Canis lupus familiaris: one gene and its partners. The protein of the gene in region 1 binds, or shares a complex with, the protein of each later gene. Links are inferred from orthologs where the notes say so. Each region holds a gene or a part of one and is shown in the gene's direction. Other genes may lie near its edges. The genes, in order: RUVBL1, UXT and ANP32E.

Region 1 (3,651 bases):
AATAATGTCATAATAATTATAATAGCATCATAGCTCTTAATTTATTGGATGTGCTAGGCCTGGGCAAATACTTAAATATTTCATTTGTTATCATTTATAGCTTTCTACATGTATGTGTGCCATTTGTGTAGTTTCCCTCATGTAACAGATAAAGGAACTGAGGTTTCATCAGGAGCTTATCCTGGGATCACACAGCTGGTTAAGTGGCAGACAGGATTCTCTTGAGTCCCAGCCATTATGCTGTTCACCCTCCCACTTGCTGTGTGATCTTTGGGAGTCAGTTGAGCTCTCTGGGCCACCGTTTCCCCATCTGTGAACTGTGGTAGATTGACTATATAATTTCTCCATCTTTGCTCTCCTCCATGATTTTATGGTTCTTTGATCCTGTAAAGTGGTTTCTTGGTCACTGCTTTATGGAGATCATAAAAATGTCACTTCTTCAGAGGGTCATTTTTCTTTTTCCTACCAGGGTTTCCATCTCAGGAGCTTGCCTCTGCAAATACCTCTTTTAAACCTCCCCCTCATTTTTCCCATTCTGTATTAATTAGATTTCTTGGTAGGATCTGCCACCTTTCCAGTAATTACATCTTCAGACAGTTCATTTGGGAAATTAACCAATACTAAAATGCTTGAGGCAAAAAAAAAAAAAGAATACTCCTCAGTGTAAGTTAGCTGAAGTAAGGCATGCAGTTTACATTTACATTTCAGCTCTCCATCAGGCTTCTTTGCACAGTTTCTTCAAGAAAATAACATAAGGGAGAAGATGAATTTTTTTCCTTCCCAAATGAGTACTTCTAGCTACTTTGAGTGTGTGTGTATGTATATATATATATACATACATACATACACACACACACACACACACACAAACACAAGATATTTGGACAAATGGAGCTAAGATACTTGGTGTAGATACTGATTTATGAAGAGAATATCATACTTGCCATCATTATCAGGTGCCTTCCTTGTTCTAGGCCCTGCGTCAGGGGCTTACCAAACACTGTTCCTTGTGCTGCTCTGGGAGGCTGCCAGACCCTACCCTGCCAGTGACACAGAACTCTGGGTTTATTCCTGTGGTTACTGTCTCCAACAGCTTTATTGAAATTTAATTTTAAATAAAATTCACCCATTTTAGGAAGGAATTTTAATCTGTTTACGGAATGGTATGGCTAGCACCACTGTCCAATTCTAGAACATTTTTCATCACCCCAAAAGAAACCTCATGCCCATTGACAGTAGTGCCCATTCCAACCCACACCCTCTGGCAACCACTAATCCACTTTCTGTTTCTATATATTTGTCTTTTCGGAACATTTCATGTAAATGGAGTCATACAGCATGTGGTTTTGTGTGTCTGGCTTCTTTCACGGAGTTCTTAGTTTTTACTCTTTAATTTTGTTTGAGACAAAGCCCGTTTTTTTCACATTATAAAATATAAAGTTAACTAAGGGAAATAGCTCTCCATGAAGTTTTATGGAGAGAAACTTATGTTTAAATCTTGACTCCTGACCAAAGATGGCTGTCCTTGAATACTGAACATCAAGGGTAGCTGAATTTAGACAGGGGAAAAGAAACGGTCCCCAAAACATGCTCCTCTCCTTTCCTGAAGGTATAAGCAGGCAGGCCCCAGAGAGCAGACACGGATTTGAATCAAAAGGCCTGGTTTGTGTTTCCCTCTGGATATTTACACCTGGGTGCTGTTGTACAGATGAGGAAACAGAGGCTCAGAGAGCCTTGTCCAAAATCATAGGACCACCAAGTTCCAACCACGAAGAGCAAGCAGGTTCCATTGGGTGCCTCACATGCAGGAAGTTCTACCCCTACCTGAGGAGGAGTGGAGGAGAAGAATTGAAGCAGAGAGCAATCTCAAAAGGGGTTATTAGGGCCTGTGGTCTCACAGACAGCGTGGGCCTCACCTAAAAGCAGTCAGAGCCATATTTGCCAGTTTGCGACCTCAGGAGTAAAAGGAAAGAGGATAGTAGGTCTCCCCTCACACTCACCCTGGGTGCACTCACTCTCCTGCTGTCTCTAGGACACATCCCCAAAGCTATTCATCTCCTGCATCCACACACACACATCCACAGACACACACACATACCTATACACCCACTCCTGCTCCACTCACTCCCACACAAATACACTTTCTCCATACAGTCATTAGCTACCTCAAGTCTCTTGTGGAAAGGTACTTTACAGTATGTCGGAAATAAATATTATATGTATTTTACAGTTCTCTGGGTCAAATGTTTTTGGGTTTGTTTTTTCTTTTAAGCTGGACCCCAGCATTTTTGAAAGTTTGCAGAAAGAGCGAGTAGAAGCTGGAGATGTGATCTACATTGAAGCCAACAGTGGGGCTGTGAAGGTAACACCATGCCTGGTTTGCATGAGGAGGCCTAAGTGACAAGGGGAGGGTGCTTTCTTCAGGGAGTATGGGATGCGAGGAGAGGCTGGTGTCTGGTGCAATGCTGAGGGAAGGTCAGCAGTTGCCCCTTTATGTTGAATAAAGTTTGCTTTCCCTTTATCTTCATTCTTTAACCTTCTCATGATTAAAACAGACAGTCTGTTCGAAAAATACTAAAGCTTGTTTAGAGGGGGAGTACTGCGTGAGAAAGCAGAACAACTGTAGTCATTTTCAAATTGAAGTGTGCAGTGCGTTTAATCTTCCTTTTATCTCTTTGGTATTTTCTTCCCAAGATATATGCATGTGGAAGGAATGCTGCATTAGTTGGCATTCTTTTTATATCTGATTTTCAGTGTCCTGTACAGTGTTCCTCACTGTTTAATGGATGAGCATAATACTTCATATCATACGATAAATCACCTACCTACAAAAGAGTCTGAACGGCTCCCTCCGTCTCCAGTTAATCTACTGGATTTGCCCTTTATCAGGAATTGCATACAGTTAAAAGAAAGAGGGGGGAAGAGATTCTTGGAGAAAGTATCAGGTGTTTTTCAACTGGGTTTTTGGAGCCCAGTGATGAGCAGATAGCTTCCTTCTCTTGGCAGCGGGGGTGTGGGGTGTGTTTGGAGTTTGTCAAGGAGGCTGTCAGGCCCGCAGTTGGGAACTGAGGCTTTTATCTCACTTAGCACTGTGCCATTTGGAGACTTGGCAGCGAACACTCACCCGGCACTCAGGTTTCTCTTTCTGCAGAGGCAGGGCAGGTGTGATACCTACGCCACAGAATTCGACCTTGAAGCTGAAGAATATGTCCCCTTGCCAAAGGGCGATGTGCATAAGAAGAAAGAAATCATCCAGGATGTGACCTTGCATGATTTGGACGTGGCCAACGCACGGCCCCAGGTACTGCCTCGATGCCGGCATGACCTGGCACACGAGCGCTTTTGTGTGTTCACAGAAGCTTTGGGAATGAATTGTCAGAGTCTTGCTGCCGTTTCTTAGGGCAGACGGTCCTTTTCTATCTGTAATGTTCAGCAATTAACATCGACATGAGCTACTGAGGGACTCCTTTGTTCCAATTCAAATGCTCTAGTCACAGATGATTTCATGTGTATTGTTTCTTATCCCAGCCAAGCCTCTGGCCGTGAGTTAGCCAGCTTCTTCTGTGGCTTCCCTCCAAGCAGCGGGCTCAAGCCTGGGATTCTCTGGGTGTTAATGGTGTAGGGCAGGAGTGTTCTTTGAGCCCTTTGCAG
Region 2 (3,751 bases), on another chromosome or scaffold:
TTGGGCTCCTTGATCAGCTGGGAGTCTGCTTCTCCCTCTGACCCTTCCCATGGTGCGTGTATGCTCTCTCTCTCAGATAAATAAATAGAACCTTTTCTTTAAAAAGTAAAAAATGCTTTATGAAATGTAAGTTAGTAGATTTGCACAGACCTATCTTCAGTTCTTCAGAACTCTGTGTTGTTTTGTGTTAAAGATAATAAACATGGGGGGATCCCTGGGTAGCTCAGCGGTTTGGCGCCTGCCTTCAGCCCAGGGCATGATCCCAGAGTCTCAGGATTGAGTCCCACATCGGGCTTCCTGCATGGAGCCTGCTTTTTCCTGTGTCTCTGCCTTTCTGTCTCTCATGAATAAATAAACAAAATCTTTAAAATATATAAATAAAGATAATAAACATAACACCTCTTTTTTTCCCCATAGGAAAATGGTATAGATTAACTCAATAATAGTTGTCTAACTACCTGGTGTCTATTTCAATCACACGAAATGTAACTTTAACTATATGTAATATTTGAAGATTTACAAAAAAACATTTTAAAAAATTACATGTCCTTTCCAATCATCTTGTTCTTAGGGCAAAGAAAAGCTTGACTTGCTTAGGTTTTGAGCATTTGAAAGAAAAACTTGCCTTTACACACAAAACACACAAAGTATCTGAGAAGACATCACTGGCATGAGTGGGGGCTCTCGGCCCTATAGGCAGGCATAGCATTTGAGGGATTTGGTATCTGTGTTCTCCTTCAGGCTCAGCCAAGACTTGCTGGGTATGATGCTATTATTTGAAAATGTAACATGGGAAATAAATTCATTAACTTGAGTGCATACAAATAAATAAAAGTTTATACATTTAAATAAAGACTCAGGAACATTTCTAACTACAGAATAGCCGATCTTGAGCAGAGGACTTCAGCGACCCGCCACCTGATGCCTCTATTAGACGAGGTAATAGACATAGTGTTTTGTCAATATCTGCTTGGATCCTAGTTATGGATGGCAGGTTGCAAACTGGAGTTACCAAAGCTGAGTTTCAGAGAATCTGTCTCCGTTTAAAAAAAAAAATTTAATGCTCACATTCATTCCCATTACTGGGAATCAAACCCAAATCTCCCGTGCGAAAAATCAAAATCCATGGCGACAGTTCCCGGGATGTACTCTCCTTTTTACAAACCAGAACCATAACCAATTCTTGCCCGTCTGCTTCCGAAGCTCTGACTTTTAAATACTACACGCTTCTCTCTCGCCACCTGTGCGCCCCGCCTCCCCCAGGAACCCGCCAAATCCCATTAAGGCCCGCCCCCGCGAGCCACGCTCAGTCCCCACAGGCTCCGCGCTGCCCCGTTCCCACGCTGCGCGGCCGGGAGTACACTCGGTGGATTCCCTAAAGCCCCGCCCTCCTCTCCTCCGCTTCGCCCCTTTCCAGCCCTTCAGAACCGCCTTTCCCACCCGGCTATTCGGTTGGCCCGCGCCCTTGTGGTACGTCATTCACCCGCGCCACCCGGAAGCCACGGTTTATAGCAACCGTTCTTATTGCCGGCGGCTCTAAGGTGAGGGCCGCGTTTGGGTGTCCCTGGGTGGCAGAGTCCCAGAGTTGGGAGGGGCAGAAGGCGGAACCCCGGCCGGAGCCGAACGAGCCCACTCCCGCTGTCGAGGGGGTGCAGATGTACTGTGCCTGAGGCCAAACTGTGTGGTCAACGTGGTGTGCTCCGCTCCCCATTCCTTAGGAGCCCATCATGGCGACGCCCCCTAAACGGCGGGCGGTGGAAGCCACGGGGGAGAAAGTGCTGCGCTATGAGGCCTTCATCTGTGACGTGCTACAGCAGGACCTGCGGTGAGTGGCAGCGTGGAGGGCCGGGCGTGTGGAAGGTTCCACGTGGGGGGGCGGGGCGTCCAAAGTCAGGGTCTAGCCTTCTGATTGGTGGGAAAGGCATTTGGAGTCCAGCCCCGTGCGCCGATCCGGCGAGGAGGGGCGACATCCGGGGTGCTACTGGGCTGGGATGTGGCGGTTCTTGTAGAGGGTGTGTCCGCGCCTGTCTGGCCTCCCATCTCACTTAGCCGTGGAGCTAGATTCTAAAGCGGGAGTTCTTAGGTTCGAATCCTTGGCCTGGCCCCTTCGCCATCTGTGTGAAGACGTTGTACGCTGCCTCGACTTTGTGTGCCTCAGTTTTCTTATCTGTGAAATGGGAAAGTTCATGGAACCTTCCTCATGGGGTGGTTTTGAGTTTTTAATGTGTTCCCCCCTTGTAAAGGATTTAATGTGAATACTAGGGGCTCTATGAGTATGAAAAATTGTTACTATCACTATTAATCTGAGCAGGAAGTAGAGTGTTCAGAAGCAGGATAATGAACATCCTGAAAGGGATGGAAGATTTTTCTAGGGTGAGAATGGGACACTTTTTTTTTTTTTTTTGAGAATGGGACATCCTGATTGGACGGAATGTGGTAATAGTACTAATAAATAAGAGCTAAAACATATATAGAGCTTAGTTTTTGGTTAGGTGCTATTGTAAGTGCTTTGTAGTAAACAGTTCTCTTAATGACTTTGTGAGGTAATACTTGTCGTCCCTTTTTTAAAGATAGGGAAATTGACTCCTAAAGAGAAAATGAGTCCTAAAGAATTTGCTGAAGTCACACAACTAGTAAAAAGGAGAGCCTAGATTCAAACCCAAGCAGTCTGACTCACAATTCAAATCAACTTCTGCACTAAAATGCTTCTTTAAGGCATGGTGACATGAGGGTCTCAGTCATAATATGAGGTATTCTGACAGGTCCAGGGCTTCCTGTTGGTCACCATTTTCCTCTTGTCCCATCAGAAAAGTGCTGGACCATCGCGACAAGGTATATGAGCAGCTGGCCAAATACCTTCAACTGAGAAATGTCATTGAGCGGCTTCAGGTAAAAACAGCCAAGGTTAGGGACCATTTTGATGTGTTTGGGCAAGGGAGGGGGATGGGAGGAGAGACCCCAGACCAAAACCTGTCAGCTGACCTGAAAGGTGACCACTGACCCCTACCTCTTTTTCCCTGGCCCCACAGGAAGCTAACCCCTCGGAGTTATATATGCAGGTGGATTTGGGCTGTAACTTCTTCGTTGACACAGTTGTGTGAGTGTCTACCTGCCCCTCTGAGCCCACAGGGCTCAGCTTCCCCCTTCCTTCATGCAACAAATATTTTTTTTTGAGTATTTGCTATGTACCAGACACTGTGCTAGGTGCCGGGGATGTGACAGTGAATCGAATAGGACAAAACCCCTGCCCTCTCAGAGCTTCTAATTTGGGGAAGGTGGGAGGAGTGGAGTAAAAAAAAATTGCCAATAAACTGTATAGTATGCTAAACAGTAATAAAGACTTCCCCCACTTCCTCTAACCATTGTTTCCTCAGCCCAGACACTTCACGAATCTATGTGGCGCTCGGATATGGTTTTTTCCTGGAGTTGACACTGGCAGAAGCTCTCAAGTTCATTGATCGTAAGAGCAATCTCCTCACAGAGTAAGTCCATTCTATGAAGTGTCTAAAATACCACCATTTGCAACATCCTTTTCCCTTTCCCCATGGCTCTCTGAGATGATAGATACTTAAGGGCCCATTTCTCCTCCTCCCCAGGGCTAGGGCTGAGGAAAGTAGAGATGCAAAGCTCAGCCCCAAGAATAGCACATAGGAAGCACTCCATAAATGGTCTTGATATTGCTCACTCACACACACATTTGTTGGCTGTTCTATGCCAGGTTCTGTACTTGGCAGTGGGGAGGCCACAGTGA
Region 3 (3,651 bases), on another chromosome or scaffold:
AAGTACTAGCAAGAAACATTTGCTCAGCCACTCACTCATCTTTTAAAATATTTTTAAAGATGGAGATGAAGATGATGAAGAGGAAGAAGATGAAGCTGGTCCACCTGAAGAATATGAAGAAGAAGAGGAGGAAGAAGAGGAGGATGAGGATGAGGATGAGGATGAAGCGGGCTCGGAATTGGGAGAGGGAGAAGAGGAAGTGGGCCTATCATATTTAATGAAAGAAGAAATCCAGGTGAATAGGCATTTCTTTATTACTAAATAAAGTAATTATTTAGGCATAAAGCCAAGGTCTATAAATAGTTCAGTTGTGAAGAAATCTGAAAATTGTTACTAACTTGCAGGTCTGAGCGTGTCTATCTGTCATTTTTCCTACTGTCCCCTGGCTCAAACTGTATCTAGGGCAGCCTGGGTGGCTCAGCGGTTTAGCGCTGCCTTCAGCCCAGGGTGTGATCCTGGAGACCTGGGATCGAGTCCCACGTCGGGTTCCCTGCATGGAGCCTACTTCTCCCTCTGCCTGTGTCTCTGCCTCTCTCTGTGTGTCTCTCATGAATAAATAAATAAAATATTAAAAAAAAACAAAACTGTATACAGATCATCATAAGCACCTATGGTTTTACCACCTAGGTATCTTGAAAATCCATTCTGCCCAGAGCAGCAGGGTTCATGGAAACATTTTACAAAAGTTTCTGAGCTTCAGCTTCTGCATTTATAGAACTGAAAATAATATCAACCTCTTAGGCTCTTTTCAGGGTTTAACAAGAGAATATAGGTAAATTATCTAGTCCCTGGCACATCGTAGGCCCTCAGCAACACTTTCCCTCTAATTATTTTTTGTTTATGGTTTTGTTGTAGTTTTCCAAATGGCCTCTTAAATACAGTGTCACCACTTAGGTGTATCCTTCACAGTCTGTGCTTGCTTGCTTAGTCTGAATGCAAATGTGATCATATCACTGCCCTGCTTGAAACAATTTAATGTTTCCCTGTTGCCACCAAAATATATACAAGACCCATCACTATCTAGTCCCTGTTTGCCTCTCTAGCCTCTTCTCCCTCAATTTTATTTTATTTATTTTATTTTATTTTATTTTATTTTATTTTATTTTATTTTATTTATTTTATTTTATTTTATTATTTTATTTTATTTTATTTTATTTTATTTTATTTTATTTTATTTTATTTTATTTTATTTTATTTTATTTATTTTATTCTATTTTATTTTATTTTTAAAAATTTTTATTTATTTATGATAGCCACACAGAGAGAGAGAGAGGCAGAGACACAGGCAGAGGGAGAAGCAGGCTCCATGCACCGGGAGCCCGATGTGGGATTCGATCCCGGGTCTCCAGGATCGCGCCCTGGGCCAAAGGCAGGCGCTAAACCGCTGCGCCACCCAGGGATCCCCCTCAATTTTAAATTAAATCCTCACACTAAGCTGTTTCTTGCCTTTCTGTCTGAAGATACATTGTTTACTCTTAATCTGAAATGACTTGCTACTCATGCTCTCTGATGAATGCTTTTTTTTTTAACTGAGGTAAACATAAATATAGTTAAAGCCTGTAAAGTGCACGGATTTTATGTACAAGTTCACATTTTACTTATGTGTATACTTGTATGACTACCACCCAAATCATGACTCAGTTCTGGAGTTGCCTCATTATTGAAACTTTATCTATAATTTTTTATACTCCTTCCTTCATTACCTTTTTTTTTTTTTTTTTAAGATTTTATTTATGAGAAAAACAGAGAGAGAGAGAGAGAGGCAGAGATATAGGCAGAGGGAGAAGCAGGTTCTCCGCAAGGAGCCCAGTGTGGGACTCGATCCCGGATTCCAGGATCAGGACCTGAGCCGAAGGCAGATGCTCAACTGCTGAGCCATCCAGGCATCCCCCTTCGTTACCTTTGAATCTTGGTTAGTCTTCTCTTGCTCATAGATACTTTTGTAAAAACTTGTTTACTTGGCTACTTTCTACTAGATGGCGAGTTCCATAAAGGGAGGGTCATCTGTCTTTATATCTCAGTGTCTAGTACATTAACAGGGACATAGTAAGCTCACAGGAAGTGTCAGTTGACTTGAATAAATGATCTTTTGCCCCTGGGAATTACTATTTCCTCCTAATGTTTTTAAATTACTGAGTTTGTTTGCATAATTCAGAGTTTTTTATTAAAAATATCTCTTACTTAGGGCAGCCCCGGTGGCACAGTGGTTTGGCGCTGCCTGCAGCCCGGGGTGTGATCCTGGAGAACTGGGATCGAGTCCCGCGTCGGGTTCCCTGCATGGAGCCTGCTTCTCCCTCTGCCTGTGTCTCTGCCTTTCTCTCTCTGTGTCTCTATGAATAAATAAATAAAGCCGAAAAAAATATATCTCTAATTTAGACTAGAAATTATTAGTATTCTTATTTGTTCTCCTAAGGACTTTTACATTGGTTAGATAATATCCCTGATCAGTGATAATTTTTCTCTGATACCATTTTATTTTATTTTTTAATTTTTTTTAAGATTTTATTTATTCATTCATGGGAGACACACACACACAGAGAGAGAGAGAGAGAGAGAGGCAGAGACACAGGCAGAGGGAGAAGCAGGCTCCAAACAGGGAGCCTGACGTGGGATTCCATCCCAGGTCTCCAGGATCATACCCCAGGTCGAAGGCGGCTCTAAACCACTGGGCCACTGGGGCTCCCTGTTTTTAATATTTTTAATTAGTTGTGTTGTAACCTTATGTTTAGAAGGTGAGAGTCAGTAGAAGCTTCCGAGACTATCAAGATTCAAGAAAGAAAGTAGAAGGAGATAGAAATGGGATTTGATTAGCTATTTTTGGTTTGAGTATTCTTTTTATTTCAGTTACTCTTCAGAGGTAAGGAATTAATATGTAAAAAGATGGACTTTATGTTTGTGTAGTACACTTCATTAAAAATGGGGGTGGAGGCTTTAGAAGAATTGGAAATAGTGGTGCTCCTGTACTATACATAGTATAGTGAGGAAACATGGATTTCCCATTAGTTAGGAAGAGACCATAGTTTCTACTGAATAAGCCTTTGGTGAAAGCAGAGTTTTTATTGAGGGATATTATCTAAAATGATATTAAAAACTAAAGGCTTAGATGATGGCTATACTTGGCAGTGAGCATAGCTTTAGGTAAAGACTTGTTGAGTCACCCTGTTGTACACCTGAAACTAAGGTGACATCGTGTGTCAACTATATTTCAATTTAAAAAAAGGCTTAAAAATGTGAATCAGTTAATGTAACCATATATATATATATTTAAAGATTTTATTCATTTATTCATGAGAGACACAGAGAGAGTGAGAGAAGCAGAGACATAGGCAGAGGGAGGAGCAGGCTCCATGGAGGGAGCTTGATATGGGACTCGATCCCAGGACTCTGGGATCACACCCTGCGTCAAAGGCAGACGCTCAACCAATAAGCCACCCAAGTGTCCCCATATTTTGTTTAAAAATCTGGAGAAGCAATTAGCTATTGAGAATGAGAGACACACAGAGAAAGGCAGAGATGTAGGCAGAGGGAGAAGTGGAGAAGTAGACTTCCTCTGGGGAGCCCAGTGCAGGACTCGATCCCAGGACCCCAGGATCACACCCTGAGCCAAAGGCAAATGCTCAACTGAGCCACCCAGGTGTTCCTATGTTCCTT

The links.
Region 2: RUVBL1 (region 1) and UXT share a complex: the UniProt entries of both Homo sapiens proteins name them as parts of the PAQosome complex. The link is inferred for Canis lupus familiaris from reciprocal best matches to the Homo sapiens genes RUVBL1 and UXT.
Region 3: RUVBL1 (region 1) and ANP32E share a complex: the UniProt entries of both Homo sapiens proteins name them as parts of the SWR1-like complex. The link is inferred for Canis lupus familiaris from reciprocal best matches to the Homo sapiens genes RUVBL1 and ANP32E.

The regions. Positions count from the first base shown.
Region 1 is NC_049241.1:2,142,788-2,146,438, reverse strand, and holds part of RUVBL1 (ruvB-like 1), read left to right. Parts: intron 1-2,272; coding exon 2,273-2,362; intron 2,363-3,151; coding exon 3,152-3,301; intron 3,302-3,651. UniProt on the Homo sapiens protein: Possesses single-stranded DNA-stimulated ATPase and ATP-dependent DNA helicase (3' to 5') activity; hexamerization is thought to be critical for ATP hydrolysis and adjacent subunits in the ring-like structure contribute to the ATPase activity.
Region 2 is NC_049260.1:41,480,403-41,484,153, reverse strand, and holds the start of UXT (protein UXT), read left to right. Parts: upstream 1-1,381; 5' UTR 1,382-1,541; intron 1,542-1,718; 5' UTR 1,719-1,727; coding exon 1,728-1,825; intron 1,826-2,807; coding exon 2,808-2,904; intron 2,905-3,029; coding exon 3,030-3,097; intron 3,098-3,374; coding exon 3,375-3,482; intron 3,483-3,751. UniProt on the Homo sapiens protein: Involved in gene transcription regulation. Acts in concert with the corepressor URI1 to regulate androgen receptor AR-mediated transcription. Together with URI1, associates with chromatin to the NKX3-1 promoter region.
Region 3 is NC_049238.1:60,124,554-60,128,204, reverse strand, and holds part of ANP32E (acidic leucine-rich nuclear phosphoprotein 32 family member E), read left to right. Parts: intron 1-59; coding exon 60-235; coding exon of another isoform or gene 236-265; exon of another isoform or gene 266-280; intron 281-3,651. UniProt on the Homo sapiens protein: Histone chaperone that specifically mediates the genome-wide removal of histone H2A.Z/H2AZ1 from the nucleosome: removes H2A.Z/H2AZ1 from its normal sites of deposition, especially from enhancer and insulator regions.